Linked DNA regions of Astyanax mexicanus. The protein of the gene in region 3 interacts with the protein of the main gene of each other region in a pairwise test. Links are inferred from orthologs where the notes say so. Each region holds a gene or a part of one and is shown on either strand. Other genes may lie near its edges.

Evidence for each region.
Region 1: the proteins of csnk2b (region 3) and araf interact in a two-hybrid assay, tested with the Homo sapiens proteins (2 studies listed by BioGRID and IntAct). The link is inferred for Astyanax mexicanus from reciprocal best matches to the Homo sapiens genes CSNK2B and ARAF.
Region 2: the proteins of csnk2b (region 3) and rnf7 interact in a two-hybrid assay, tested with the Homo sapiens proteins (2 studies listed by BioGRID). The link is inferred for Astyanax mexicanus from reciprocal best matches to the Homo sapiens genes CSNK2B and RNF7.
Region 4: the proteins of csnk2b (region 3) and prkab2 interact in a two-hybrid assay, tested with the Homo sapiens proteins (2 studies listed by BioGRID and IntAct). The link is inferred for Astyanax mexicanus from reciprocal best matches to the Homo sapiens genes CSNK2B and PRKAB2.

What each region holds. Positions count from the first base shown.
Region 1 is NC_064429.1:9,223,995-9,231,959, forward strand, and holds the start of araf (serine/threonine-protein kinase A-Raf), read right to left. Parts: upstream 3,131-7,965; 5' UTR 3,051-3,130; intron 2,910-3,050; exon of another isoform or gene 1,326-2,909; intron 1-1,325. Other genes in the region: usp30 (ubiquitin carboxyl-terminal hydrolase 30), read left to right, coding at 4,668-4,741, 6,840-6,949, 7,038-7,220. UniProt on the Homo sapiens protein: Involved in the transduction of mitogenic signals from the cell membrane to the nucleus. May also regulate the TOR signaling cascade. Phosphorylates PFKFB2.
Region 2 is NC_064416.1:32,163,447-32,171,161, forward strand, and holds the start of rnf7 (RING-box protein 2), read right to left. Parts: upstream 3,103-7,715; 5' UTR 3,044-3,102; coding exon 2,851-3,043; intron 953-2,850; coding exon 905-952; intron 1-904. Other genes in the region: pro-cathepsin H, read left to right, coding at 6,721-6,805, 7,128-7,159, 7,344-7,449. UniProt on the Homo sapiens protein: Catalytic component of multiple cullin-5-RING E3 ubiquitin-protein ligase complexes (ECS complexes), which mediate the ubiquitination and subsequent proteasomal degradation of target proteins.
Region 3 is NC_064410.1:37,124,709-37,132,691, reverse strand, and holds the start of csnk2b (casein kinase II subunit beta), read right to left. Parts: upstream 3,081-7,983; 5' UTR 2,996-3,080; exon of another isoform or gene 2,967-2,995; intron 1,919-2,966; 5' UTR 1,909-1,918; coding exon 1,837-1,908; intron 790-1,836; coding exon 687-789; intron 1-686. UniProt on the Homo sapiens protein: Regulatory subunit of casein kinase II/CK2.
Region 4 is NC_064411.1:27,924,387-27,932,315, forward strand, and holds the start of prkab2 (5'-AMP-activated protein kinase subunit beta-2), read right to left. Parts: upstream 3,187-7,929; 5' UTR 3,079-3,186; intron 1-3,078. Other genes in the region: ift57 (intraflagellar transport protein 57 homolog), read right to left, coding at 4,515-4,696, 7,148-7,214. UniProt on the Homo sapiens protein: Non-catalytic subunit of AMP-activated protein kinase (AMPK), an energy sensor protein kinase that plays a key role in regulating cellular energy metabolism.

The DNA.
Region 1 (7,965 bases), on a different chromosome or scaffold from region 3:
CTAAAAATCAAATAGCCATAGCACTTTGAATTAGATGAATTTAAGGCTGCTCTTAACTGCAATTATTTATGTTAATGTTTATTTAATAATGATTGAATATTGCTTTCACTATGCCTGCTTCACATTTCTCTTGCCTAAATTTTACTAGTAACTGGTATTACTACTGCATTTTTAAAGACATGATAATTAACAATTAGCCGAACTGAGATCAGTCCTTTTGTCCAGCTTCACAGAGGCTGTGAAGCTGGGAAATATTGTGATATTATTTTTGGGCAATATCGCCCACACCTACTTTGGATGGTTATTTTGCTAGACAGTAGACTACTGAAAGTTCTTTCTTCCATTAACTGTTTTTAACCTAAAATTATGATGTTATCTTCAATCTGCTTTAGTCAGTGCTGCTGCTACTGCCTGTATAATGCAACCAGGAACAGGAATTTCAAGTTCTAACGCTGACACAGACTTTCACTGATGCAAGACATACTTGGCAACCCCACAAAAGCTACATGAGCCGTAAGATGAGCTAAATGTTGACTCAGCACTTGTTACTTAACTGTACTTATATATCCACTTCGAACTCAAAACATGACTACAGTATTTTAGTTACACTTTAGTTACACATCGCTTATATAGCTTTGGAACAAATTGAGCGTGAGACCAATTAATTTTCTAAATCGGTTTCTCTGATTTTGTTATTTATTGGTATATATAACCTTTCTCCCAAATTCCAAATACAAATATTGCCATTTAGAGCATTTTTTTCAGTTTTCAGACCTCAAATAATGCAAAAAAAATAATGCAATAAAGTTTATATTCATAAAGTTCTAAGAGTTCAGAAATCAATATTTGGTGGAATAACCCTGTTTTTTAATCACAGTTTTTGTTCATGTATCTTGGCATCATGTTCTCCTCCACCAGTCTTACACACTGCTTTTGGATAACTTTATGACACTCATGGTGCAAAAATTCTTGGTTGGATGGCATCCATCTTCCTTTTGATTATATTCCAGATGTTTTCAATTTGGTAAAATCAAAGAAAATCGTTTTTAAGTTGCCTCTTATTTTTGTCTAATGCTGTATATAAATCTTATATTAATTATATACTGACAGACAGACTAAAGGGCAGGGATTAAGCCAAGTCATAGACTAAATTTTCTTTTCAATGGAAAATATCCATTTAAATATATCCATCCATGACTAGGCTTAATCCCTGTCTGGGAAACTGAATCACTCTTCTGTCCAATCACAGCTTCATATCCTCTCCCAGCACCTGACTACTCCATTCGCTAGGACCGCACCAGGCACCTGACTCGTGCACTGCTCACCTTAACCTCAGCTGAACCTGTGCAGGAAAGCTAAGGAAAGGTGTGGAAACCCCTGATCAAAGCTCTCCAGCCTCTCACAAACACCTGATAAGCTACAGAAAGCTCCACCTGCTGGTAGGATAATCCACAGGAGCCCTGAGAGAAAACCAAACTCAGATCAGGACAGGTTACTTCTTCACACCTTTTTAATTAATACCACTCAGAGACAAAATTTAAAACACCTTTTTAAAATAAGAACACTGATATTAAAGCAGAAGTCCATGTTATTTAGTTTCTAAACTGAAAGCAGAAGCATTTCTGAGTGGAGAAGAATGTGGATAAAATATTGCGTTTAATTGTACCATTGTGCTGGAGCAAACATCCCTGCTAAGCCTAATAATATATTCAGTCTAAAAACTGGGGTGTCGGGTTGCTTTTTACAGTTCTTCTGGCCACGTCACGCGTCTTTACGTACTTATGTCACACGTACAGCCTCTAAAAGAGGATCCGGCTCAGTTTTACGCTTTTACAGCTGAAAGCGAGTGACTGGTGGAGCAGTGGAGACTTCAGAAGAGGAAACTCAGAGCTCAGTAGTTTATTTACTCATGGTAAAACCAAAGAAACGAAGGAGTGAAATTTCTCACTGAGCGCTTTCTTTCTCTCTCTCTCTCTCTCTCTCTCTCTCTCTCTCTCTCTCTCTCACTCTCTTACTAAACATAACCTGGAATCGGATTCATCTGCTCTGGACCGCATCACACCCACCAAGTTTAAAATGATTCTTACACATGCTCTGTGCAATAACCTATTCTCATCAGAGTGAGGCCTAAATCCCTAAAAAATAAACTTTTTAGCCATTTTTTAGATATACAGACAGACAAACCAGACAGACAATAAGACAGGTATATAGAAAGACAGACAGATAGATAAGACAAGTACATAGATAGACAGACAGGTTTTTAAATGAACAGACAGCTAGACAGATAAGATACAGACAGACAGATGACTGACCGACATACCGACAAGACAGAGAGACAGATACATAGACAGGGACATAGAAAGACAGACAGACACATAGATAGACAGGCAGACAAGACAGATGCATAGACAGGTACATAGATAGACACACAAGGCAGACAGAAAGGTAAATTGACTACTGTAAGTACAAGGAGTAATATTTAATACATTTTAAGAATCTGCTGCTACAAGTGCATTTCTTATGAATGCCAGTATATTGTGATATCTCTCGGTATATCGGTAAAACGGTAAAATGTTATAGGTAAAAAGGTTACAGGTAAATATCGTGATACAACTGATATCTGAATAAATCACCCAGCCCTGCTGTGGAGCGGTAGCTACACTCACAGCTCTTTAGCCCGATAGCACAGGCAGGCCCGGGCCCGCAGCGGGGTCCGTGGGTGAGTCGGTTCCGCTGGTGGAGCCGGGCAGGACCGGCGGGGCTCGGGGTTCGGTCCGGGCGGGTACGGAGGAGCGGCAGCTCCGTGTCGGTGAGGCGGAAAGGGATTAGCTGTGTTTAGCCGCTAAGCTAACAGGCTAGCTGCTGTTAGCCGAGCTGCTCTTCTGCTTCAGAAAGTCCCGCTGCAGCCCGCCACCCGGGTCCCCCCGAACCGGCACCCGAACCGAGCCGAGCCGGCCGGCTATTGCTGCTCCCTGCCCCCGGCTCCCCCCCGGACCCGCGCTGTTTCCCCGCGGACTCTCCCTCACTCTGCTGCTGAAGTAAATACTCACCTGAGCCCGCCATCTTGAATTCTCTCAATCTGAAGTCGGATCAGAAGATTTCAGACGCGCAGCGGAGCGCTCTGATTGGCCCGGTTGCTGCAGATCTTCGCTCGGATTGGTCTCTTTTTAAAGCACGCGTCCCGGATTGGTGAAACGTGTTCCACACTGTGGAAGGAACGCCTACTCCTTGTGATCTGTTTGGTCTGTTTTTAGAAAACGCTACCCTGATTGGCTACACGATGAAAGGAACGCCCACCTGTTGAGATGTAATTGGTTTGTTGTTGAGAAATAGCGTCTCTCATTGGTCAAAAGAGTTTTACAGATCAAAGGATCGGTCAAATCCACAAAACTCTTACTGCTTACTTTACTTATAGACAGACAGACAGACAGACAGATAGATAGATAGATAGATAGATAGATAGACAGGAGTGTGCATACGTAAAAAAATAAAAATATATATTAAGAATTTGCAAGAAATAAAAAATATACTGCTGATGCACAATTATAATATGTGTGAGTAATAAGTGTTATCTATAGACTATGCAAGAGGAGTTGTAAAGATGTAAATGATATAAGATGTATATATGATATTAGATAGTAATATTAAATATAAAAATAAATAGATACATAAATAAAGAGTGTAATTTAAATTCAGATTTTAAACCACTATTTAATAAGATAGTTTAAAGGCAGTGTGTGCAGTAAGTGTGTAATTACAGTGTAGTTAGAACACTAGAGGGCAGCTCAGGCCCTCAGTATGTTGAGCTACAGGCTAAATGCACTGTTTGACCTCTGCAGTGCAGTGAGATACTGCTGAAGTGTTGTTTTAATCTGTCACTTGTTTCTTCAGCTGCTGTAAATTTTCTCTACAGGCCAAATAAAAGCATCCACCAGGTCTAGTCTATGGCCCAGTCCCATTTCTCCTTTATACCCCTGCCTCTTACTTTCAAGTGTCAAAATCCCACAAATTAAAACTTCTAATCACTTAATTTATTTGGTCTAATTTAAGTTCTGTGAAATGTGTTTTGTATGTTCTACTGCCAACCCTAAAATTTAGGACCAACTTAAAAAAGGAGCTATAAAATGTTTTGGATTTACATACATATACATATATGCACTTCTTGTTAACAAAAAAAAAAACACATTTTGTTAACAACATAATTGAAGTTTATTATGAGAAAGTATCTCAAAATAATGAGACAGCATCTAAAAAAAACGACTTAGCGTCTCAAAATAATGAGATAGCATTTTATATTGAATAATGAGAAAACATACAGATTGGATTTTTATTTTATTTTATGTGAAGGGAATAGTAGGGTTATTTTTTCATTAAAAAATGTGTTGCTAACCACTTAATATCTGGACCTCACCACTTAGTATGTGGTGCTCACCACCCCATGTCCCTTCAGGGGCTGCTTAGTTCTATAAGCAGGCAATTGAGACGCACCCCTTCTGAATGTGTTGTAGGCGGAATAGCCGAGTGCCCTACAACATTTGTGCGCACTCCAGGGTGCGGGCGCGTATTGGAACGCGCCCCGTCGTGTCGTAAACCAGCGACCAGCACCAGGACCGGGACCGTGGAGCAACAAGCTCGCGGCGTGTTTGCGGTTCCGCGGCGGGGAGAAGATGCGCTGGGGCGGACAGCAGCAGGCCGCAGACCAGCTGGTCCGGGAGTTTCTGCGCACGGGGTCCTCCGCCAGGTCGGTGAGAGCGGGGGGCGGCCGGGGAGCGCGACCGGCGCAGGGTGAGGGAGCGGGGGCGGAGCCTGCTGCAACAGCCGGAGCTCAGTACTCACTGGTAGCATGGGCTAGGCTAACACAGCTAAGCTACCACAGGCTAACAGAGCTACAGACAGGCTAACAGAGCTAAATCTAGGCTAACAGTGCTACAGACAGGCTAACAGAGCTACATACAGGTTAAAACAGGTATAGCTAGGCTAACAGAGCTAAGCTAACAGTCTGCATTGGAGAATTACTGCTCAGTGCTTTAGTGTAGGAGCTCTGACGACCTACAACCAGCTCTAAAATCAGTTATACAGCTTTATTTACAGCCTGAGATCACTGACATGCAGGTAAACCATCAGAAGACTGGCAGAGCTTTAGTTATCTAAGTACAGCAGATGATTTAAAGGGTTTAAAGGTATTTATAGGTTATAGTCAATATCTGTGGCGTGTTATTGTTTACAGAAACAGCCTTATTCAGTCTAATTTAGCATTTATTATTATTAATCTTCATTCAGAAGGACAGGGTGAGTGGCATGGACCCTCAGTCCAGCACAGGTGGGTGTAAAAACCTTTATATTTACTAGCTAGGTATTAGTAATAGCTCTTATGCTGTTATTTACTAATAGTGCTTCTAGTTTTTCTAGTGATTTTAAATTAAACAGCTAGTTTGTGTTCAGAGAGATCTGTTTGTCACTGGTTTAGTATTCTGGTTAGTTTTAGTCCTTACTAGCTCCCTGACTATCTAATCTAGTATGCTTAAATATTCTTAAACTTTACATTCAGGATTTGTTCAGGATTTCTGATTATCATTGTCTATTGATGTTTCTCCATTTCCTCCAGTTCTGTCTAAGTAGAGGTTTTAAATTTCTAGCCACATCATTCAGTATGTAAACAGAGACTGAAACAGTCATTCAGTGTGCTTTAAATAGCTACCTGAATTGAACTTCTTTGCAGTGTTGGTGAAAGACACAGACATGCAATTGCAACTAGAGCGTCAATGAAGGATTATTTTGGTAGTCGACTAATCTGTTGATTATTTTTCCGATTGATCATATACTCAATGATTATATCTGACATGCTCTCCATGTCTGCTTCCTGTGCATACCTTTCTGTTTCCAGCTTTCTTTATCGCTAGCATCTCAACTAATAATTGTTTTTGTAGTCAACTAATCTTTCGATAATTATTTCGGTTAAAAAAAATAGTCAGCGATTATTTCTGCCATGCTTTCCATCTCTTCTTCCTCTGCATATGGCTCCTCTGTTTCTAGCTTTCTCTGTTGGTAGCGCGTCAGCTAGTAATTGTTCTGGTTGTCCACTAACCTGTCGATTAGTTTACCGATTATTCAGCGAGGATTTTTGCCATGCTCTCCATCGCTAGCTCATCAGGCAATACTTGTTCTGGTAGTTGACTAATTGTACGATAATATTTTTTCAGAATAGTCAGCGATTATTTCTGCCATGCGCTCCATCCCTAGCTCATTGGCCAATAATTGTTCTGGTTGTCGACTAATCTGTCAATTATTTTTCAGATTAGTCAAATAGTCAGTGATTATTTCTGCCACACACTCTGTCTGTGCTTTGTGTGCATACAGCTCCTGTTTCTAGCTTTCTCTATCGCTAGCAAGTCAACTAATAATTGTTCTGGTAGTCGACTAATCGTATGATTATTTTGTCCCGATTATTTACCATTTTTTTCTGCCATGCTCTCCATCCTTGCTGTCTGTGTGTATGGCTCACTAGGGCTGCTGCTAAAGATTATTTTATTTTATTATTTATTTTTACTGATTAATCAACCATTGTTTCATATACCATGCCATGCTCTTTATCTCTGCTTCCTGTGAAAATGGAGAAGGTATGTCTTTGCACATAGAAGCTGCAGAGTGAATTTTAGTAGATAGACTTTCTGCTTCTGTCAGAAACCTGTAAAGAACTCCTTTATAAATTACAGTGATTTACATATTTTACACTTCCTTAAAAAGTTAAATATAAGGAGTTTATGTTGGTGACGTTTTTTTTAAGTTTTAAAAAATGTGTTTATTGACGATGTTATGAACTGTGTCTGGTTATGTCGCAGGAATAAGATGATGAAGAACTGGGGTCTGATCGGCGGGATCGCCGCTGCCATGGCCGCCGGGGTTTACGTCCTGTGGGGTCCGATCACAGACAGGAAGAAGAAGAGGAAAGGTAAAGAACCCAGGCTGTGTTCCTGTGAAGCTTTTTAAAATTATTGTTACTGGAATCACTGACTGTTGGTTTGTGGCGTTTCCTGCAGGTACAGTTCCCGGGCTGCTGAATCTGGGAAACACTTGCTTTATGAACTCGCTGCTTCAGGGTCTGGCGGCCTGCCCGTCCTTCGTCAGGTGGCTGGAGGACTTCGAGAGCCAGAGCAGCATCAGTCTAGCCAGGCCTGAGACGGACACTCGGCTGTCTGTAACTCTGCTGCAGCTGCTTAAAGGTACAGCGCGTCCGAGTCTGTTTCTGACTTTACTGTGTTTCTAGCAGCAATAGCACTCGAAACTCAAATTCAACTAAATAGATTTTTGTCCCAAATCAGGTTTTGTTAAGTCTAAACAGCTGATCGGAGATCAGAATGTGTTGCATCTCCAATTGTTTTTAAAACCCGATCCGGATGGGTTTAGTTTCTTGGGGGGACATCTGTGAAAAAGAGTGTAATTATGGTGCGTGGCAGTGGACAAAAAGCTGTTTTATTAAACTTGAAGTGACGAAACACAGAAGGACCACAGATTTCAGAGAAAAACAGTAAATGATTCAGCCTGTAATTTTCTCAGAGGACGTCGGAGAAAACACGTACATGGTTGTTCTGGATGGGAATAAAATCACAGAGGATAAAAAACCCACATAAAAAAGAAAAATTACCCCAGAAACCCCTGAGAAACTAATCCAGTCCGAATAGGGCTTAAATGAGTGTTGAATAATCTCATCTCTGATCTCAGACCTGTTTAAAAAAAAAAGATGCAAAGCACTGAGTAAAAGGAGTAAAAACCTCTTAAGAATAATTACTACAGTAAAGTATAGATAGCCAGCATTTCTACTTATAAAATAATGTAAAATAATGAAATATTTGTACTTAGTTACTCAACACCTTTTATTCTGAGGCTTATAGTAAGTTTGTAAAATTATATTTAAAAAATTAAAAGGAAGAAAAAGATTAAGTTATGTGGGATGAAGTTAATCCGCAT
Region 2 (7,715 bases), on a different chromosome or scaffold from region 3:
TAGATTCACTTATGTGTGTCCAGGTTTGCTTTTAAAATGTGACACTTTTTAAAAGGTAGAACTGGAATGGGATTGGGAAACATTATGGTCAGAAAGATTCCAGATTCCAGCCGTGCAATGAATTCTGCACATTTTTTCTGCATAAAAACAAAATTAGGGCGATTATGTCTCTGGGACTCGGTGCAGCCCAACCATCACAATAAGTGAGAAAACATATATGATTATTATTATCTCACATTTTTAGAAAGCAGTGCTGCCAATCATTTGGTTTTATGAAGTTGGGGTCAGAGAAGGGGTGGGCAAATTATATTGAATCCTAAAGAAAAAGGTGCTTTACAATATCTGACCCAACTTGGAGGACTAAAAGTCAAAAACAAAACAAAAAAATATGACCAAAATGAGCCAGATTATTTCGATTAGGGGTTCTAAATGTTGGTCTGACTCATTTTCAAGGCCAGAGTACATGTTTTGGAAAGCATTTGACATTTTATTGCAGCTATTGTGACATCATATCATTAATCAGCCCAATAAAATGTGATTGTTTAACCCATATCTCCTTTGTGTATATATTTAAGTTTGGTCTTAAATATCAGTGTGAAAACTACAAACAGGAACCAAACGTAAAACAAGGTAATGTTTGAATATCACCTTTTATCCAGACCAAGTGATCCAAACGACCTGAATAAAATCAAACTGACTGAAGGACACACACAAACTAGGGTTGATTACATTACTCAAATCGCTGCAGGTCAGTGTAAACAGCAACAACCACAGATGCTGAGTCATAACTGCAGGTCAGCATGTTGGTCATGAATACACAGGAGCTAAAATATTAGTCAACTGCTGCCATCTGTGGCCTGCTGTAACTGTGTGCACCTCTCAACTGACTGTCTGCTTTACTTACCAACACAGTCCTCTTGTTTATTTTCTGCCTGGCACCTCAGACACGCATCTACAAGACAGAAAGACAGACAGACAGGTTTCATTAATATTACACAAGTATTAATAACTATTTTATAAAAACATTTATATCGCTACCCAGCAAAATGCTTCCAAACACATACCACACACACCTACAACAAGAATGACTATATGGTAAGAGGCTCAAGATAGAACTCCTCAGTATGTTCCCATAAGGCAATCATATTGTCCACGGCCACTTTATTAAATCCACCGCCTTGTTCCTTCACCTATTATCCATCCAATCAGCTCCACTTCGCTCTGTTCTACCAATGGTCAAGACCCTACAGAACCACCACAGAGTGGGTGGTGCGTCATTCTCAGCACTGCAGTCACACTGGTATGGTGATGCTGCATCTAGTGTTTAACGGGTCATTATTGCCTGCCACAGTTAACTGCAACCGAACCATAAAAAAACAAGTGTTTTACACTGCAAACTAATTAAACGATAATTTAGCTAATCCACACTGAGAGCAGGTCTTTTGGTTGGCCCAAAACCTGCTATTTTGGTTTGGACCAAACTGAATAGTCAAAGGTCTGCACCAAACATGAAAAGTGTGAAGGCAGCCTTTAACACTCCCAACATGTAGATGGAATAAAGTCAGAAAAAGATGCTTTGAATCTGTTGCTGCCCAGTTTGCAATTTGTGTTAGTGTCTGGTACAAGGGGTACGAGGGGGCCAGACACAGACATAGCAGTGCTGCTGGAGTTTTTAAACACGGTGCGAGTCGCACTGTCCTCTCTATTAGACACCCTAAACAACAGTTGCTCCTACACTTTGTAGATAAAGCAAAGTCAGAAACAGAAACCCTGAATCTGTTGCTGCCAAGTCTGTGCTGTTCATTCTCTAGTCCTACATCAGTGAGCACAGGACACTGCCCACAGGACACTGTTGTCTGGATATTTCATGTTGTTGGTGAACTATCTATTCTCAGTCCAGCAAAAACACTGATGTGTTTAAAAAGGTGTTGTACTCTCTGATATTCTTGTACCAGCACAACACACACCAGCACATCATACACCACCACTATGCCAGTCAGTGTCACTGCAGTGCTGAGATGCTCTGTGGTGGTCCTGACCATTGAATAACAGATTGAATAGATTTCTACATAAAAAGGTTTCATATTCGATAAGGAACATTACTGAAACGCATAATTGTAACAGAAAATATATTTTAAAAAACGTTAATCTGCTAATGTCAAAATATAATGAAAAAAAAAAATCATAAAATTAGCTCTTTCCTGAATTCATTTTAAAATCAATATTTTTCTGAAACCTTTAGTTTTGTTATGTTTGTCTAGTTTTACGTCTATTTTCAAACATACAGAGTCTGGGTTGATTCCTGTTACTGAACTGAAATTATTAAGTGGAGTAGAGAGTGAACAGGCAGCTTCTCCAAGTGACCTGTAGATTTTAAAGCCCTTAAATTTACAGAATGTAAATAAGTAATTTTAATGCAGACAAAAAAGGGTTTGTATCACCTAATGTTACACCTGTAGCCCGTATACGAGACAAGGCCTGTAAACGGATTAATAAACTATCCAGCTTTCAGATACAGACTGCTCTTAACTGTTTAGCTATTTAGCTAGCTAGCTAATATTCTCTGTGAGATAGGATCTTTTGGCAACAGCAGATAGCTGCACATAATCCGCCCACATAAATATAGCTACAGCTAGCTCATCCAGCTCCATCATACCAGAGTCGAAAGGGCTGCCAGCTGGCGGATTCAGCAGGTTAGCATTAATACCGATGTCAGGTGCTGAGCTGGATTAGGTAACGTTGGCTGAGCTCGGGGGGTTGTTCAGTTATTTGGTTAGTTAGCTCTTTAGCTGGTTAGCTGGCTAATTAGCTGGTTAGCCGAGCAGCTAGCCGCCCCACAGCAGCACCTACCCATGACCTGGACCCGGCAGATGGCGCAGGTATCGCACTCCACGTCCCAACTCCACATGGCCACCGCATTCCACTTCTTTAGAGAGAACATCTTGTCCCCAGCTGATCTGGAGCTGGACCCAGAGCCGGACCCGGAGGAGCCGCTGATCGAGTGCACCAAAACCGGCTCGTCTCCGTCATCCATCTCCGCCATGGCAGAAAAGGGCAGCTACAAAATGGCCGACTCCAGCAGAGCGTCCGGCCGCCCCGCTAACGCTAACACTGACCCAGGATCAGCGGCTCAGACCCAGCCCGGCCTGACCAGCACTGCCGCAGAGCACCGGGGCTGATCCCGGATCAGCGAGCAGCGATAAATTACCACAGTGATCCACAGCTAAAGGGGGAAAACAGAGAGAACTACAGCGAGGGGCTGAAATAAACAATTAATGTAGTAATTAACCCCTAACAGCCCAAACACACCTCTCAGCGTTAATTAAATATATAAACATATAAAATTTAGTTTTATTTGTAAGGTAAAAAAAAAAAAACACCAGTGCTTGCACATAAGTCCTAACAAAAGTGATCTAACTGCATAATGTTGCTCTGAGGCAACAACTAAAACACGGTTTTAATAAGTAGTTATAAGAAATTATAATTCAACGAATTAATAAAATAAAATAAAAACAAAACTGAAATATAAGAAAAACATTTAAGAAAAACATTAAATTGGTATCTCATAATGATGATTTACTATATCAAAATAATGATAGTATCTCAAAATAATAAATTAGTATTTCAAAAATTGACTTACTATGTTAAAATAATGAGAGTACCTCAAAATAATGAGATAGTATCTCAAAATAATAAAATAGTAACTCAAAATAATAAGATAGTATTTAAAAAAATTAATAATAATAATTAGTATCTTAAACCAATGAAATATCAGTTTACTTAATAAGAAGAAAAAAATGTAAATATATATATATATATATATATATATATATATATATATATATATATATATATATATATATATATATATATATTATATTATATTTATTTTACGTGAAAATATATTTATATATATTTATTTAATATATTTATTTATGTGAAAATATAAAGAGTAGAAGTAAAAAGATGAGGAAGATGGATGATCACAAGGCATCAAACCAAGCTGAACTCCTTGAATTTCTGCAGCTGGAGTGGCATGAAGTTATCCAAAAGCAGTGTGTAAGACTGGTGAAGGAAAACAAGCCAAGATGTACGGAGCCCGGGAGGGGCCGTGGATAAAAAAAATAATAAAATCGAGTGAACGATGTAGCAGTTCGTGCTCACGTTTTCTTTAATTCGAGTGAACGATTTGCAATTCGTGCTCACGATTTCTTTAATTCGTGCTCACGATTTCTGTAATTCGTGCGCACGATTTCTGTAATTCGAGTGAACGATTTCTGTAAATCGTGCTCACGTTTTTATGCGCAATAAGACAAGAAGCTCGGAGGGAAAGGAGCATTTTCTCTCTTGATCTGTTACAGGGGTGCAGTAATGATAATCAGTTATCTACCTTTATAACCTGCTGTTATTAATGCACTAGTGTTACAGTTAGATGTACAGTACAGTGAGCAGATTTTGCCTGGTGGTGGAATCTCTACAGCGCGTGGGGGAGAGCCGTCCGCGGCATCGGTTCCCCAAGCCGCCAGACACCTGCCGCGCGCGCAGGTCTTCACGGAGCTTATTTACCAACAATGTAGACAAATACAGTCAATTCCAGTCATGAATAAAGGAAACAAACATTTTACTGATGCAGGACAACTGTGTGTTATTAAAACCAGATCAAAACAAAGTTATAATGCAATGTGCAAATGTGTTTATTAATTTCTAAATAACATTCAGCCAGCCTCCAAGGAAATGCACACCTTCTTAAATCTGGTTACATCATTATTACTTTTATGATAGATTTAATCTATATTTTAATAATTTGTATAATAAATAAACACATAATTCAGAAAATATACATTTAAGAAGTTTATAATTATTATATTTTTTTTATTTGAAGCTTGTGGCATGTTTCTGGGCAGGACACTGATTTGAGAATAAGCAGATATTCAGGACATTTCATCAGATATAGAAACTTAATTATTTTAGGAAACATATTGGAATAAATTATCAAATTGATCCAAATTATTATATGAAATGCCTATTTACTAAATATCTTAATACATTGTATTAATAGTATTTTAGACCAGCTATTTTGATTTTATATAGTGTTACATATTTAAAGCAGCTCTTATATGAGCCATTCATAGACAACTGTCACACCTTGCATTAATTTTGTATTATCTTTATTAACTTTTACAGTGTACATTTGGACCTAAGTCTTATAGCTGTATATTTATATAATTATACTTCTTTACGTTATACTATTGTTGAAAATAAGAAATTATAAACAGTTCCACATTGCATTATAACTTTGTTTTGATCTGGTTTTAATAACACACAGTTATCCTGCATTAGTAATGTTTGTTTCCTTTAATCATGACTGGAATTGACTGTATTTGTCTACATTGTTGGTAAATAAGCTCCGTGAAGACCTGCGCGCGCGGCAGGTGTCTGGCGGCGGGGGAACCGATGCCGCGGACGGCTCTCCCCCACGCGCTGTAGAGATTCCACCACCAGGCAAAATCTGCTCACTGTACTGTACATCTAACTGTAACACTAGTGCATTAATAACAGCAGGTTATAAAGGTAGATAACTGATTATCATTACTGCACCCCTGTAACAGATCAAGAGAGAAAATGCTCCTTTCCCTCCGAGCTTCTTGTCTTATTGCGCATAAAAACGTGAGCACGAATTACAGAAATCGTTCACTCGAATTACAGAAATCGTGCGCACGAATTACAGAAATCGTGAGCACGAATTAAAGAAATCGTGAGCACGAATTGCAAATCGTTCACTCGAATTAAAGAAAACGTGAGCACGAACTGCTACATCGTTCACTCGATTTAATTGTTTTTTTTATCCACGGCCCCTCCCGGGCTCCGTAAAGATGCATGAAAACTGTGAATAAAAATCAGGGTTATTCCACCAAATACTAATTTCTGAACTTTTATTTGGAATTTGGGAGAAATGTTGTCCGTTGTTTATAGAATAAAACAACAATGTTAATTTTACTCAAACATAAACCTATAAATCCTATGAATAGCAAAATCCAAGAAAATGGTTTAGTAACTGAAGTGGTCTCTTATTAAAAAAAACTGAATTTCGAGATCGTCGTCAAAATGCCAACGTTTTTTCAATGTCAGCTCCACGTTGGTTTGTAGGTTGTGCCCAAACTAGGGTTCAAGTCGCTACCCAGTGTAAGGTGTAGCGTTCTGTACACACCTATCCACATCTACCCAAACAAATGCGCGCACCAGTTTTGGAGCACGACTGGACCGTGGCTGCTGTGTGTGTGTGTGTGTGTGTGTGTGTTTGTGTTCTGTGCCCTATGTGTCTGTCTGTGGGTTTTTGTTTGTTTCCCGTGAACGCGCGAGCGCACGCACAATTGCCATGTTCCAGCCATGCTCCAATATTCGTGTGTGAGAATTTGGGCTGTTTGGTAATAAGCTAAAGACCAACGTGGAGCTGACGTTGGTAAAACGTTGGCATTTTGACGCCGATCTCCGCTCCTTTATCCAGCTCCTTTATCCAGCGTTCTAAAAAATACTGCCAACAACAGACCAACGTTGGTCTGACTTCGAATTTCGACGTGCGACATAGACAACATTTGGCAGCATACTGTTGCTATCTGGGCCCGGGGGGCGGGGTGGGGGAGTTTCAGCAGCGCCTCCATCGGGTTGGCTGTGCTCTGCTCCGGCGCTCAGAGCTGCTGGAGGAGCGGACCCGACTCAGTCATGAAAACAGCGGCTTTAATAACAGCGACCGCCTGCCTGGCGGTTCTTTACTGCGTCTGCGCTTCTCCTATTTTAACTGAGGAAGGTAGGAGTCCAGTTATCAACTTTAAATCAAGAGAGAGGCCAGTTTAACAACATACAGACTTTAGTTTCGTTTCTGCTTTTGTTTTCTTCTCTTCTACAGACCCTGCTAAAAATACAGCTCAAGAACCAGACAAAACACATATACCATATAGTTAACCTAACGAGCTAGTCTAACAGCATAGTATTTATATATTTATATTTTCTAGATGACAGCTGGTCTGAGCTGGATATTTAACAAGAGAGTCAGGTCCAGTGAAAAACTTTTATTATTTAATGCAGTGTAACGTTGTATAATAAACATGCAGTCTCTGTTTGTCCTGCAGATGAGTTTGCCTTCAAAACCTGGATGTCTGAGGTAAAAAAAAAATCCCTCTCAGTTTTCTGTTACAGAACTTATTAAGTGACACTGTTACTGTAACATGAGCTAAACAAGGAAATTGGGAATTACCCACAAATTCATAATACAGAAAGAGTGAGCTTAATATTTGAATGAGTGTACTTTCAGTAAAGTGTCTGTAATGTTTAAATCCTGTTCACAGCACAATAAAAAATACAGCCCGGATGAGTACTACCAGAGGCTGCAGATTTTCACTGAAAACAAGAGAAGGATCGACCATCACAATGCAGGAAGCCACACATTCAGAAGTACGATCACCTGACCTTTTCCTTACAGTTTTTTTCCAGTTGCTAAAACACAATTTTGTAAACTAGGCTGTTTTTTTTACAAAATACATAACACAATTCACAAAACCAAAGCACAACCAAACTGCAAAATACCTTATATATCATTCAAAATATACTAAATAACGCACTGCAACCAAAACAAAAAATAGGCTTATCAAAATCAAACTTCTACACCAAAAAGCTTCACACACTTTATGCCTATTATCATATCATTCTGTTTAGCCAAC
Region 3 (7,983 bases):
CTGCAATATATTTTGTGTGGCGATTGAAAAATGATTGAAATTACATTTTGTTGTCTATATAGTCACAAAATACAGCAGCCTTTTTGTTGCTTGGGTGACTTAATATGACAGAAGTGATCAAACTGCAGAAATTTATTCTTTAAACAGGAGACCCGGATAACAATTTGTAACCGGCAAACACTGGGTTTATTGTGGCCAACCTAATTAACAAACACCTTTTTCAGTGAGTAGAGTAACAGTATTAAGATCAATTTAGATTCCCTGCATTACCTTCCGCTTCATATAACACTGTTTCTCAATCTTGATTATCCAGTTCCCCCAGCTACTGATCAACTACTCAACTAAAAAGACCTTTCGCAGCAGCAGGGTGTTATAAAGTAGAGAAGTTTTCTGTGCAAGGCAGCAGGCTGTGGTTATTTTATGGAAAACAAAGAAAGAAAAATGTCACACTGTGATATACTATACTGTTTTTGGAATTTGAAAAGGCCTTTGTGGGGATATGAATTTTTGGTCATATTGCACATCCTTATTTTGGACGTGGAGTATCTTTGCTCTGGGCAAAACAATGTAACAATCCATGCTATTACATTGGCTCTCCTGCATTGATAATGATGGGTACCTGTTGAACATAGTAGTTTGATTTAACATTAGCTCATTTTAAGAACATGCTGAACTGCCATACTAACCAGGTTCCAGATCCAAAATCATGTCCAGAGCTTGTCTGTAATGTGGAACCTGCTCATTGAGTCCAGTGAGGTTAAACTTATCCTGGATATAGTCCTCATCCACCTGGGTAACACAGTAAGCATGAGTTTGAACATGTTAAGAACATTTACAAGATAAACATTTATTATTAAGTACAATTGGTGAACACATTAATATAGCAAGCCATTTTAGCCTAACATCACACCAATGAAATAAGACCTAATTTAGATCTTAACTCAGTCAAGATCTATGTAATGTAACAGCAAAATTATTTTGGATATCAGCCATGTAACATGGTTTTGATGTATTACAAGGAGCACATATCATTAATGTAAATTTTGACTAGTCAAGACTCCTCCTTTCTTATCTATAGTAACACTGTTACTTGGTAAAACAAGTTACCGACATCTAGTTTTACTTACTAGTAGAGATTGTAATTCTAGATTTGTAAAGTGCAATTCTAAGTATCAAAACCTCCAGATATATACACCATCACTAATCAAAACCAGAATTTATTCACAAAATAAAATAACAATATGGAAATGGTCTGGTAGCATAGATAGCCAGAAGTAATAATTCCAAAGCTGATCACTGCAATGAAAGATTCCAAGAGTAAAAACTGCATTACAAAGCTTAATATGTAAAAACTAAGCAAGTACCGCTGGTGACATCAGTCACAAACCCTTTAAAAGATGTGTGAAGTTCCTTATAGCACTTTTTCGGTCATTCTAACTCAAAGTCACCAAGTAACACATACTAAACATCCTGAGAGCATCACAGGACAGTTTGTGTAAATCTGTCCTCGTTCATCTTACCTCATTTACAAAACGTAGAAGTGCTGGGCTAGCTCTGGAGATCCTTTACAAAGTCTGTTTTTTGCTTATATAGATCTGTTTCTGCCATTTAACCGTTCAAATGTTGTGATTAAATGTTTTACATACCATATAACTAGTTTCGACCTGAACAAACTGTTAAAATATAAAGGTTTGAAATCATTTGCCCTCAATAATAGTTCAAGTTGAAGCTTGGCATCAATATTCAGAAAAAGGTCTGGGCTTTCGGTTAGGCTGAAAGGGTTTGCCATATTTTACCACTATTGATGTGTAAAGGTTTCACATGAAAAGCACGAACCTCACAGAAGAACTCGTTTCCTCGTAGACCACAAAACCAAGAAATCCACGAAACTTCCTCCGAACTGCTCATTTTGGGGAAACTAGACAAAAGAAGGTAAAACAAAACAGAAGGTAAGAAGAGCTCAGAGCCGGTGTTTTGTCGAGTTGTGTTACCCGTCGATTTGTGCTTCTTAGCAGTTCTGCGCATGCGCTTAACTCTCATTTTTACTGTTATCATGTGTTTTTCGTAATTAATTTTTCGATTGCACTGTACAATATGGACTTACTGCCATCGTTTGCTTGAGTGTTACAACAGTGTAAAAATAATGATAAAATATATAATAATAATAAAAAAAATCACCTATATTGCCTTAACTTTATACTGATTCAAATATCATACCGAGACCTCCACTGCGAGCACGTTCTAATGTTTTGTATTTTACCTTTAAATATACACTAGGGTAGCATAGTGTGACAAGCTTGCTAAAATCGACAGAACACCGGTAGACTAGTGTTAGCTTGGCTCTGAGAGGAGAACACTGAGGTATAACCTAGGCTAGGACAGGATAGGATAGCATACACAAGATACCCTCACAATTTACAAGATACTGATTTTAATGCTAGAATAGGATTAACTAACTAGCTAAGTACACAAACAATTTAGCTCTCGGGTTATTGACCCCAGCTTAGCTAATTAAATATATAGATATTTAAAACAGCTAGCTAATCCAACATAGGCTAACATGAGCTAAACTAAGCTAGCCGAGCTAAAAAGCCCAAATCCAGCCCGAGGCTGCTAGGCCGCTAGCCTCCCGTATTTACTGTGGGTTTAAATCTACCAGACGAGCCTCTGGCCACCGCGGCGTCAAATACACTGACCGAGTGCCGAGTACCGACACATACTGACCCGTTAAAACACGGAGAAATAAAGTCTTTCTACAAGAATCCTAAAAACCCGTTTTAGCCCCTCAGCTAAAGGACTCCAACATGGCGCAGCTCAAATCAGCCAGGCCGCATAAACCCGGAGCCGCGGATTCCTCGCTGTACCGACAAACACCTTAACATTTACACCCACAGCTAGCGAACACAAACAGCCCGCGCCCAACCCGCTCAGTAACACATTAAAAACAGTATATCTGCCAAAATTACCGAATATAAAACTCGTATTTGTGTATTACCTCCCGGATTCAGGCTAAAAGCTGCTGCAGAAGCGGAGCGCTGATTGGCGTGTTTCGTCTTTAGCAACGTCATGACGAACCAGGCGCTTGTGCTTATGGGAAGTGTAGTTTTTTCCCCAATAAATTCACCTCCATATGAAGACTTTCATTTAAAAACGCATTAAATGCTATTTTAATAGTTTTTATTTTACATTACATTTATTAACAATATTAACCCAGACTCATTTCTAAATATTGATATCAATTTCATAATGTAATCAGATAAATTCAGCGAGCAGCTTATTCAGGTTTGTCTTTTATTGTGGGAACATGACTAAATATTTTAGGCAGTGGTTCTCAAACTGTGGTACAGGTACTACTGATGGTACTCGAAACATCACAAGGTGGTACACTAATTAGATGACATTAGATGAAAAAAAAAATCTACGTGCATTAACCCTTGCATTATTTCCAAGTAATTATAAGAATGTTGTTTTTTAATCCACACAAAACAAGAACCAGTATTCGAATATAAAATCTAATTCAGTACAATTCTAAATGTTATCATATTTAATACATTATATAATTTTATATAATATAATATTTAAATTTATAATGTCCATTAAATTTTGAAGCCTTTTAACAGTGTTACTTTCATTATTGATATTGACCTTTTTACTTCACAACACAATGATAAAACCATAAAATGAATTTGATAAAGTGTTCTAAATAAGACGCAATAAACTAAAATAAGCCTTTAGATTTCATTCTTTGCTTGCCTTGCCAAAAACAACAACAACAATAACCAAATAACTTACCTTACTAACTTACTGATTGCAAACATGGGCAAGCACCACACAACAGGTAAAGAACAATTGGCAAAGATATTTGCATATATATATATATATATACAGTTGTGGTCAAAAGTTTACATACACTTGTAAAAAAACATAATGTTATGGCTGTCTTGAGTTTTCAATAAGTTCTACAACTCTTATTTTTCTGTGATAGAGTGATCGGAACACATACATGTTTGTCACAAAAAACAGTCATAAAATTTGGTTCTTTCATAAATTTATTATGGGTCTGCTGAAAATGTCACCAAATCTGCTGGGTCAAAAATATACATACAGCAACATTAGTATTTGGTTACATGTCCCTTGGCCATTTTCACGGCAACTAGGCGCTTTTGGTAGCCATCCACAAGCTCCTGGCAAGCTTCAGGTCGAATGTTTGACCACTCTTCTTGACAGAATTGGTGCAGTTCAGCTAAATGTGATGGTTTTCTTGCATGAACCCGTTTCTTTAGCACTGTCCACATGTTCTCAATGGGGTTTAAGTCAGGACTTTGGGAAGGCCATTCTAAAACCTTAATTCTAGCCTGGTTTAGCCATTCCTTTACCACTTTTGATGTGTGTTTTGGGTCATTGTCTTGTTGGAACACCCAACTGCGCCCAAGACCCAACCTTCGGGCTGATGGTTTTAAGTTTTTCTGCAGAATTTGGAGGTAATCCTCCTTCTTCATTATCCCATTTACTTTCTGCAAAGAACCAGTTCCACTGGCAGCAAAACATCCCCAGAGCATAATACTACCACCACCATGCTTGACAGTAGGCATGGTGTTCCTGGGATTAAAGGCCTCACCTTTTCTCCTCCAAACATATTGCTGGGTGTTGTGGCCAAACAGCTCAATTTTTGTTTCGTCTGACCAGAGAACTTTCCTCCAGAAGGTTTTATCTTTGTCCATGTGATCAGCAGCAAACTTCAGCCGAGTCTTAAGGTGCCTTTTCTGGAGCAAGGGCTTCTTTCTTGCACGGCAGCCTCTCAGTCCATGGCGATGTAAAACACGCTTGACTGTGGAGACTGACACCTGTGTTCCATCAGCTTCCAAATCCTTGCAGACCTGCTTCTTGGTGATTCTTGGTTGACTCTTGACCATCCTGACCAATCTCCTCTCGGCAGCATGTGATAGCTTGCGTTTTCTTCCTGATCGTGGCAGTGACACAACTGTTCCATGCACTTTATACTTGCGTATAATTGTCTGCACAGTTGCTCTTGGGACCTGTAGCTGCTTTGAAATGGCTCCAAGTGACTTCCCTGACTTGTTCAAGTCAATAATTCGCTTTTTCAGATCCACACTGAGTTCCTTTGACTTTCCCATTGTAGCTTTTGTAGCTGAGTCTAATCACTGGGTCAAATGAGCCCTATTTAAATGGGCTCATGAGAAGTCAACAGCTGTAGTCAATCAGAATCACTTACAAGAAGTGAAGAGGCCATGACATGAAGCTAATTTGATTGACACAACTCGCTACATCACCAAAATTGACAAATTTTGTTGCTGTATGTATATTTTTGACCCAGCAGATTTGGTGACATTTTCAGCAGACCCATAATAAATTTATGAAAGAACCAAATTTTATGACTGTTTTTTGTGACAAACATGTATGTGTTCCGATCACTCTATCACAGAAAAATAAGAGTTGTAGAACTTATTGAAAACTCAAGACAGCCATAACATTATGTTTTTTTACAAGTGTATGTAAACTTTTGACCACAACTGTATATATATATATATATATATATATATATATATATATATATATGTTTGGATTACATGTGTAGCTTACTGTGTGTGTGGTACATGTTTTTCTGTGGAATGGCTTCTAGGTGGTAGAATGATTCAGAAATCATTATTTGGTGTAATAGCCCTTGTTTTTAATCGCAGTTTCATGCATCTTGACATGTTCTCCTCCACCAGTCTTAAACACTGCTTTTGGATAACTTTATGAAGTTTGAGAATCACTGTTTTCAAGTAAAAATCATGATGTAATATAAATGAGACAACAGCTAACTCACACATTTTATTAACATTTTGTTCTAAAAATCTGAACTAGTTACATGGAACATAAAAAATTCAAGCCTTTAAACGGTTAAATCATAGGAACAGAGCTATAAAGCTAAAATACACTTTTTAATAGAGCTAGCTTATCTCCAGCACAAACCTAGACCTACATATTGTAAATAAGAACAGATGAACAAACACACATTTACACACTGTCCTGTGATGCATTCAGGATGTTCAGTAGATGTCAGTTAGGAACTCAAAGTGAAGAACAGAGTGGCGTTAGGCAATTTACACAGATTTTAAAGGGTATTTGACTGACGTCACCTTGGGTTCTGCTTTATCATAATTAAGTTTTTTTTTTGTAATAAAGATTGTTTAACATTTATATAGTATAAATGTACTATACAGACACATCCTGTCTTCCAGAAAACATTTTTCATGATCATGTCTTAAACTTCAGCATTAAGAAATCTGGGTCAAGAAGCCCTGTAAAAAGGCCAAAGGGAGATGGGGACTCTCAGCTGTTTGTTGGAGGTTTTTTTTACAGTATCTTTAACATAGTTGACAGTAGCAGAGTATGGGAAGCTTATTGATTACTTGGAAGCCTCTTTAAGCCTGTATGATAAAGACCTTTGCTTTGGTGCCTTTTCATTACACTACTTTTAAAGTGCTAATATGATTTGTATTGGACTTAGCCACTGTCTAAACTGTTAGCATTTTTGATGTTATTTTACACTCATAGCTGAAATCTCATTTGTCTTATACAGTCTCTGACTTTTGACAGTCCCCTAATAGACCACATATTGCTTTCTGGCTTCTGCTTAAGTATCTTTTATGTGTTTGTGTCCTAATTGCAGTTATAGGTGCAACCCAAAGGAGAATAGACTCTCCTAAGCAGGTATTACTCATGTTGCGATGCAGTTTTTTTTATTTGAGTCTTGGTTGTGTAAACTTTGACATTTTCAGCTATGCTCAGTGGTTCTTTCTCACGCTACTGTGGAGATTTTCTCTTTCAGTTTAGATTTCCCTCAGAATTTCATGTTATGGTGTTTCTTTTTTGTGTGTCTTTGTTATTCCTCGCAAGTTTCTCTTTTTGAGTCTTGGTTGGGTTTTATCTCATCTCATCTCATTGTCAACCGCTTTATCCGTGAAGGGTCGCAGGGGGGGGGGGGGCTGGAGCCTATCCCAGCAGGCATCGGGCAGAAGGCAGGGTACACCCTGGACAGGCCGCCAATACATCGCAGGGCAGACAGACACAGACAGACAGACAGACACATTTACTCACACTCACACCTAAGGGGCAATTTCAATCAAGTTACAATTAGCCTGAACGTGCCGTCTTTGGACTGTGGGAGGAAACCGGAGAACCCGGAGGAAGGTTGGGTTTTAGTTGTAATCTATTATATACATACTACTGTGGCCAGTGCTAACACATTCCTCTAACTGAACTGCTGTAAAACAAACAGGAAAATTACTAGCCAAAGTAGTTTTTGTGACATCACAGAAAAATGACAAATTGTTTGGATCAAATGGACTAAGAAATACATAGTATATGTGGAAAATGAATGTCTGCATGCTATTTCAAGGTATTTTATGATTTTTTTTTTAAATCTAGACCAGCAATATTAAAAAGTAATTTGGTTAATTGTTTACAAACATACACATTTTTGTTAACATTTGGGCTAAGAGCTGTAACATGCCAATAATTTAAAAATGACTACAGAAAGATTTGTAGTTTCCCTTAAATGTTGTCAGTTGTTTACTGGTGAGGCCCATTTTGTATACATTCAAAAAATAAGAGAGACCACTCACACAGGTCCATTAAAACAAAAGATTTTATTTAACTTTTCTCTCTGTATACTTTATTATAATAAGACACTTCTCTGCTTGTACATTGCTCCCTTGAACTTAAAAATGGCAACATTTGTTTGTGGGAATGTAAGTTGGGGTAGACAAACTTAGATACATACCAATATACATACATGTGTGTATATCAAGGCTCCAATAATAAACCATAAATGCTATAACAGCTGTAACCACTTCAGGTACCTTGGTAAAGTTGAAAGTATAGTACAATCTTTTGAGTATTCCAGGAATACACTTTAATGCTTATTTATTTATTTATTTATTAAACATGGGTACATACAATATGACCACATCAATA
Region 4 (7,929 bases), on a different chromosome or scaffold from region 3:
GAAAATATTAAATTATCGCAATAGCAACAAAGCCAGTGTTGGAGTTGATTCACTGGTGATCTCTACACTAGGGGTGTCCAAACCAAACTTGGGGCCCAGGTTGAACCATAAGAAAAAAGTAAGGACCAGTCTGCCTTTCTAAAAATATTATTCATAAATTATTAAAAACACTGTATTTAAAATATTAAAAAGCAAAACAATTAACATTTTTTTAAACACTGAATTTTATTTTTGAACCTTAAGATGAATTACATGACCTTTGGAACTCCACAACAAAGCAAGTATTTCTTAAATTAATACAAAGTTGTCCAGTCAGTCAGTTGTGCAGTCCAGTCAGAGAAATGAATGGCTCTTAAATATTTTACATTTTACGCAAGGTGCTCATAAAATCCTTCAATTTTCCTAAAAATTACTAGTGCACCTTTTAATCTGGTGCGCTTTATGTATGAATTCTACCAGTCAGGTATTAAGGAGCAGTAAAGCCACTTCGCTGAAAAACAGAGTTATACAGGAGTTTAATTTTAGTTCTCCACCAGTATTAGCCGTTAACAGAGGTGAGTATTATCGGCCTGTAGCCTGCTGCTAACCCTGGCTAGCCCTGCTGGAGCAGCATAAGCATTAGCCGCTACCCGTGCTAAGCACTAGCCACTTTGCCGTTTAGAGGTGAGCATTAACCACCTGCAGCCTGATGCTAACCCAAGCTAGCACTGCTGGAGAACCGCTAGCTAATATTGCCCTTACCGCAACACTTAGGGTTCCTTAATTTTGCTCTGTCGACTAACTTTTGAATAGCAGTGATGCAACATCCTACACATGAATGTTCTACTGCTACTGTCAGGTGATTAACCTCCCTGAAATCAACTTTTGCAGCTTCGGATGTCTGAGTATTCAAATCAATAAAATGATAAGGGTGCCCATACTTTTGCACGGTCAAATTTTGGTTTAATGCATATTGCACATTTTCTGTTCAGTGCAATAAACCTTATTTCAATTCTGAACTATTACTGTGTCCATCAGTTATTAGATATATCAAACTGAAATGGCTGTTACAAACACCCAAATATTTACAACTAAAAATGATTATGATTAATATGGGGTCCCAAACTTTTTCATATGACTGTATGACAAATTTAGCACCTGTAAAAGTTGGTTGTTGAGTGAGGTTTCATAATCATATATACAGCTCATTCATGTTTACTTGTTCTTAATTGTGGGAATATGACTGTAAATATATTGGGGTTAAAATACTGGGTCTATGACAGGGTATGTTAACTCTTGGGTTAAATATTAGTTTACATGTGAAGATTGCTGTCAGACAGTAGTTACTAAGCTGTGTGTTGAAACCCCACTTACTAAATAGTAGTGTTTTAAATGAAAGTGTGTATTCGATACTACCTACAATTTTATTTAAATCAATCACATCACATCACCTTGGCTTGTTTACAGTAGCACGATCAGGCACTGACAAGTGACATAACAGTGAGGTTCTATTTGTGTTAAGAGCCAAGCTGAAGGTATTCTGTGGTCAAGGATGTTCTGCAGTCAGCCTAATTTTACCTCATATCCTCTTGCTTTTTTTTTTTTAATGTTTATGTTGTGCGTTGGGCTGATTTACCATCTTTAAAGATAGATAATGCTAACGCTAGCATCACGATAATGTGCTAGTACACAAAGTGATGTACTTCCACAGCACAGATCACAGGAATAAAGCCTTAAAAATAGCTTTGTGATGTTATGCATAGCAAACACACATGACCGTCAACAGCCAATACATCACAATATAACAGGCTTGTTCTGCTTCACCTGGCGCTGGGCAGACCGCTGGGCGGCACACCGGTTCGTTTTTCTGTCTGGCTTGATTCTGTGCATCAATACATATAATCTTTTATAATGACAATCACTGTTGTTTTTCACAAACTGAACAACTTTAGTTTACATTGGCTAAAATTATTCCCTCACACACAAATGACACTAGTTTTTTTTTTTTTTTGCATTCTAAAATAGAACAATTTCTGTCATATTTTCTAAAGACCCTAAACGGATGTTAATAATTCATGAAATCTAGCAGGAGAAAACTTTGCTTTCATATTTAATTTATTTTATTTATTATTGTCTGTAATGATTTTTTTTAAAGCACTCTGAATTCAATAGATTAACTGTTTTGTTTTTTAAACACTATTTTAGCACTTTATTTTTTTTTATCTGCCTAATTTGTAATCTCTGTATTAAAAATGCTCAGAAATGTTGAATACTTTAGTACTTTCACTTAAGTGTGGTGATCAAAAAACACTTTAACTTCTACTTAAGTCACTTTTTTGATCGAGCACTTTTACTCAAGCCTGGGTTTTCTCAAAGTTCAAAAAACCCTTTCCAGATAAATCTCTCCATCCAGATAGAGTGAATCTGATTGTGGTTGGGTGAGAAGTATAATCATATATCATTCAGACTCAAGACAACTCCAGACAAACTCCAGAACAACTAAGCTTCTTTAATATATTTATATTGTACTAAAATACATTCATTTACAATGTAAATGTAAACTAACTATAAATTTCCCTGTCCAGATATTTTTCTTCCTCTCTTCTTTCTCTTTCTCTCATGTGGGGAATTCTGTTTGTTAATAAAATGTAAGCATGTTTAAAACTGAATGCATATTGCGTGCTAGCAACATGAATTGTGTGAATAGTATAGTCCACAACAGATGTTGGGTTAAATGTATATAAAATTTTGAAAAGGTAAGTGCAGATTGGATTAAAGCAATTAAGCGACTGGAAAAAAATTGTGAACTAAAGTAAAACAGCTCACTGTGTCACTGTGTTAGTGTGTTTAACGTTACAGTAAACCGTTTCTCCCTCCGGCTCCAGTAACAGGTCGGACACTGCGACACGGGCTGGGCTAGCCCCGCTACTCCCACAGCTAACTGCCTTTACCAGTTAGCTTAGCGGGCTAACGGCTACAGTTGCACTAGCCTGAGAGCTACAGGGTGAATATTAGCCTGCTCTCCCAGTTAAATATCACAAAATATGCGAGTTTAAACCAGTACACTTTAAACACACTCAAAATGCAGGGAAAACTCACCTGTTTCACGGTTAAAAAGCCCTTATTTCCGTCGCTCTACCTCCTAATCCAACTTTGACAACATACTTGACATTGTACGGCAAGCGCAACATCCAAAAAACCCAGAAGGCGGCGAGTAACGCGTTTTACACTTAACCATTTGAGACCCTGCGTGCACTACACTGGACTTTTATGAGATTTGTTGTCAATAAGAATATACAGCCCTCAAATTATTGGCATCCCTAGTTAAAATGTGTAAAAAGCCTTAAAATAAATGTATTTTTTACATGGAGTTGGCTAAGCGGTACTGGGATTATAACTGGGACCGTGTGTTTTGTCGGATGAGACCAAGATTAAAAGTATACTTATTATTAATTATTTTTATTTTACCGTTGATGGTTTTAAAACAAAAAGGTTAAAGAAAGAAAAGGTTGAACATGTGATTCCAATGCCATGAACATTAAAAAAGCAGTTATGTATTTTAGTTCATTAGATAATTTTTTTCTATATATTAAATATCAAAACATTAGAGTCATCTGTTGAAAACATCTCTCTCATATGTTTTTAGCACTGGAACATAATTCAGGTCTTAAAGGGTTAATGCTGAAATACATACAATTGACTGCACACTGTCTATGGCATGAATTTTATTTTGGGGGGGGGGGGATATTTTTGGGAGCTTTGGGGTTTTGTTTACATTTTTTATTTAAGTTTATTTTGAAGCATTGTGATGCTTTTTTAAGTATGAATGGTGTTACATAAATAAAGTTGCCACCACTCCACTCAATGCCGCAGAAACCACCTGAGACACGAAACCAACTACATAAAAATACCACCAGTTGCCCCATTGTGACCCTGTTTTCACTTCTCATTCAGAAAAAGTTGTTGTTTGTCAGTCTGTCAGGTCAGACACTCAATTGTGATTACACTGTGTACAATCTGCAGATAAGATAACCAGGATGAAACAATCAAATTTACAGGAAAGTAATGTAGACAAGATAACCAGATTTACCTTATTTGTGTTGGACAAAGATGGAACAGTGGCCACCAATTGTACAGTGAACATTACAGTGCACATAATTGTGTAAATACAGGGCACAGCTAAGCTGCTGACAAGGGAGCTGTCTCTGACTCTAAAATAGTCATTGAATGAATTCAGTTTTGTAGGTAAAGATAAGTGTTCAACAACCTGTTAAAAATACATTATTTTTATTATTATTATTATAAATTATATATATATATATTATATATATGTTTTACTCTACATTCTTTAACATTATACAGAAACATAGTTTTCAGTGACTCACTCACTTTTCATGAATAAAACGTACACGTTTTATATACATGAAATTAGATGTTTATTATAAAAGTTATAAAGACAAGGACATTTACAGCAATATATATAGGTCATATATAAATAGATATATTTTATACAGGTTGTGTGTGTGTAAGAGACATTATGAGTAGGTGTGTGTGCTGGTCTCTGTAATGTGTGTAGCATGCATGTCTCTCGTCATGTTGTTCTTTTCTTTTAGCTTGGCCTGCAGCAGCGTGTGTTCCACCACTCCCATTCTCACATCCATCTGCTGGATCTCCTGCTTCAGCTTCGTCAGGCTCTGACGGATCTTCACCACCGGGGCTGAAAACAAACAAAACATCAGTGCCACCTCAATCAAACATCCCAGCAATGAAGCACAGAAGTGAGAGCCCCGTAGTAGACTATTCCTTTACACAGAAGATGTTTATTATCAGCTTCTCCTTATTTATCACCCACAACGCCAGAGACGATCTTTTTACATTTTATGTTTATTTCACAAGTCATATAAATTTCTATGGTATAGTTTTATTTTTTAATTACAATTGTTAATGAAAACAATACTGCATGGTGCGCTGTGTAGCACTGAAGAATTGAACAATGTTGTGATTCATTGAGCGTCTGCACCCACTGCTGCAGGATGTTCGTGCCACTGTGTATCACCATAAACAGTAAATAAAACAATAAAACAATGTTTTAAATTTTTAAAGGGCTTTTAAAAAAAATACTATTTGTAAGTATGTTTTTTGTATGTATATACAGTGCCTTGCATAAGTATTCGGCCCCCTAGAACTTTTCAACCCTTTGCCACATTTCAGGCTTCAAATATGAAGATATGAAATTGTAAAATTGAAATTTCATTGAAAATGAAATTTTTTGTGAAGAATCAACAACAAGTGGGACACAATCGTGAAGTGGAACAAAATTTATTGGACATTTTAAACTTTTTTTAGAAATAAAAAAACTGAAAAGTGGGGCGTGCAATATTATTCCGCCCCCTTGCATTAAAATACTTTGTAGCGCCACCTTTTGCTGTGATTACAGCTGCAAGTGGTTTGGGGTATGTCTCTGGGGTATGTATCAGTTTCGCACATCGAGAGACTGAAATTTTTGCCCATTTTTCTTCTTAAAACAGCTGGAGCTCAGTGAGGTTGAATGGAGAGCGTTGGTTTGTGAACAGCAGTTTTCAGCTCTTTTCACAGATTCTCGATTAGATTCAGGTCTGGACTTTGACTTGGCCATTTTAACAACGGGTTACTGTTCCATTGTAGATTTTGCTTTATGTTTTGGATCATTGTCTTGTTGGAAGATAAATCTCCTTCCCAGTCTCAGGTCTTCTGCAGACTCCAACAGGTTTTCTTCCAGAATGGTCCTGTATTCGGCTACATCCATCTTCCCATCAATTTTAACCATCTTCCCTGACCCTGCTGAAGAAAAGCAGGCCCAAACCATGATGCTGCCACCACCATGTTTGACAGTGGGGATGGTGTGTTCAGGTTGATGAGCTGTGTTACTTTTACATCAAACATAACGTTTTTTGCCTTGTGGCCAAAAAGTTCAATTTTGATTTCATCTGCCCAGAACACTTTCTTCCACATGTTTGGTGTGTCTCCCAGGTGGCTGGTGGCAAACTTTAAACTAGATTTTTTATGGATATCTGAACATGGCCTCTTGGCTGCATATCTGATCAGTCTTCTCCTTGTCTGAGCTGAAAGTTTAGAGCAGAGGTCACTATTGGGTGGACCGTGTTCTGGACCCAAACGTTGTCCATTGCGGAGAAACCTACTGAGAAGGATTTAATTGTATACACGCTTTGCGGCACAGTAAATCACAGACCAATCACGTGTGGGGTAAGATCACCAAACGCTCTCTTCAGTCAATCAGATCTGTGCAGACGCGGTAAGGAAAAAATAAATAAATAAACACACCGCTCCTCGCGCGGGATCAAACCCTTGTTGTCAGGGTTGCGGTCCCGCTGCTCCGGCTGTTGAATTGGGACGCGGCCGTAAAACCGCCTTTATGTGGAGATAGAGAGCCCGAGAATGGGCGGAAAAACGAGAACGGGCGTAAACTAAAGTCACGCCAAGCGCGACAGAGAGACAGACAGGGGAGGAATGTATACAAAATCTGGCCAGAGAGGCATTTTATTATTATTATTATTATTATTATTATTATTATTATTATTATTATATATTTTTTCATCATTCAGTTCAAACAACCTTAGAGGATATTTAACTTAATCATAACACAAGTTAACAATCGGTCCGGACCTTGGCCTGTCGAAATTTTCTCTAACTGGACCATACTGAATTCTAATTAAATACCCCTGGTTTAGAGGGAATGCTGGGTCTTGGTAGATTTGCAGTGGTCTGATACTCCTTCCATTTCAGTATGATCACTTGCACAGTGTTCCTTGAGAAGTTTAAAGCTTGGGAAATCTTTTTGTATCCAAATTCAGCTTTAAACTTCTCCACAACAGTATCTCGGACCTGCCTGGTGTGTTCCTTGGTCTTTATGATGCTCTCTGAACTCTGAGACTATCACAGAGCAGATGCATTTATACAGAGACTTGATTACACACAGGTGAATTCTATTTACAATAATCAGTCATTTAGGTCAACATTGGATTATTCAGAGATCCTCACTGAACATCTGGAGTGAGTTTTCTGCACTGAAATTAAAGGGGGCGAAAAATATTGCACGCCTCACTTTTTTTTAGTTTTTTATTTCTAAAAAAAGTTTAAAATATCCTTTTATATGTGTGTGTAGTTTTACCTCCATCTGACATGCTGCTACCCTTCTCCTCCATCTCCTGTTTGACTTTCTCCAGCTCTTCACTGATCTGAACACATAATACTTTGAATGATTCATTTTATTCAGTTATTATATAACAGTTATTATACTTTCACAGAGTATGAGTTTATTGCAGCTGTTTTGCCACCAAGAAGTGCATATACCATATTTTTTGCACTATAAGGTGCACCGGATTAAAAGGTGAATTACGAGATCATTACTAGTATCCTTCTAATTCAGCAGATCTCCCCGCAGGGTGGTAGTGGGGGTAACTAAGTTAAGTAAAGCTAAGCTAAGTAAACAAAACTGTAATTCTTAAAAAATATATATATTAAAATAAAATGAGCATTGGATGTTAATCTACACAGGTTTCTCTCCTGAAAACTGTTTATTTGGCAATAAGCGCTTCCGTTTATATATAGTAAGCCAGATTTCCACTAAGGATGTGTGCATCAGCATTAGCATTAGTGGCTAACCACTAGGGCTTGCCTCAGTTAGCGCTCGTAAATCCGGCTGACAGCGCTACACTGAGGAACACCGAGTGTTCTGGTAAGCCAGGGCAGTATTAGCTAGCGGTTCGTTCCATGTAGCTTGCTTTAACGTGTAAGCATGCAGGCTACAGTACTCACCTCTGAATGGTAAAAGAGCTAGTGCTTAGCGTGGTTAGCAGCTAATGCTAATGCTACTCCAGCTTTGGCGCTGGAGAGCTAAACTTAAACTCCTTTATAACGCTGTACTTTAGCAGAGTGACTTTACTGCTTCAT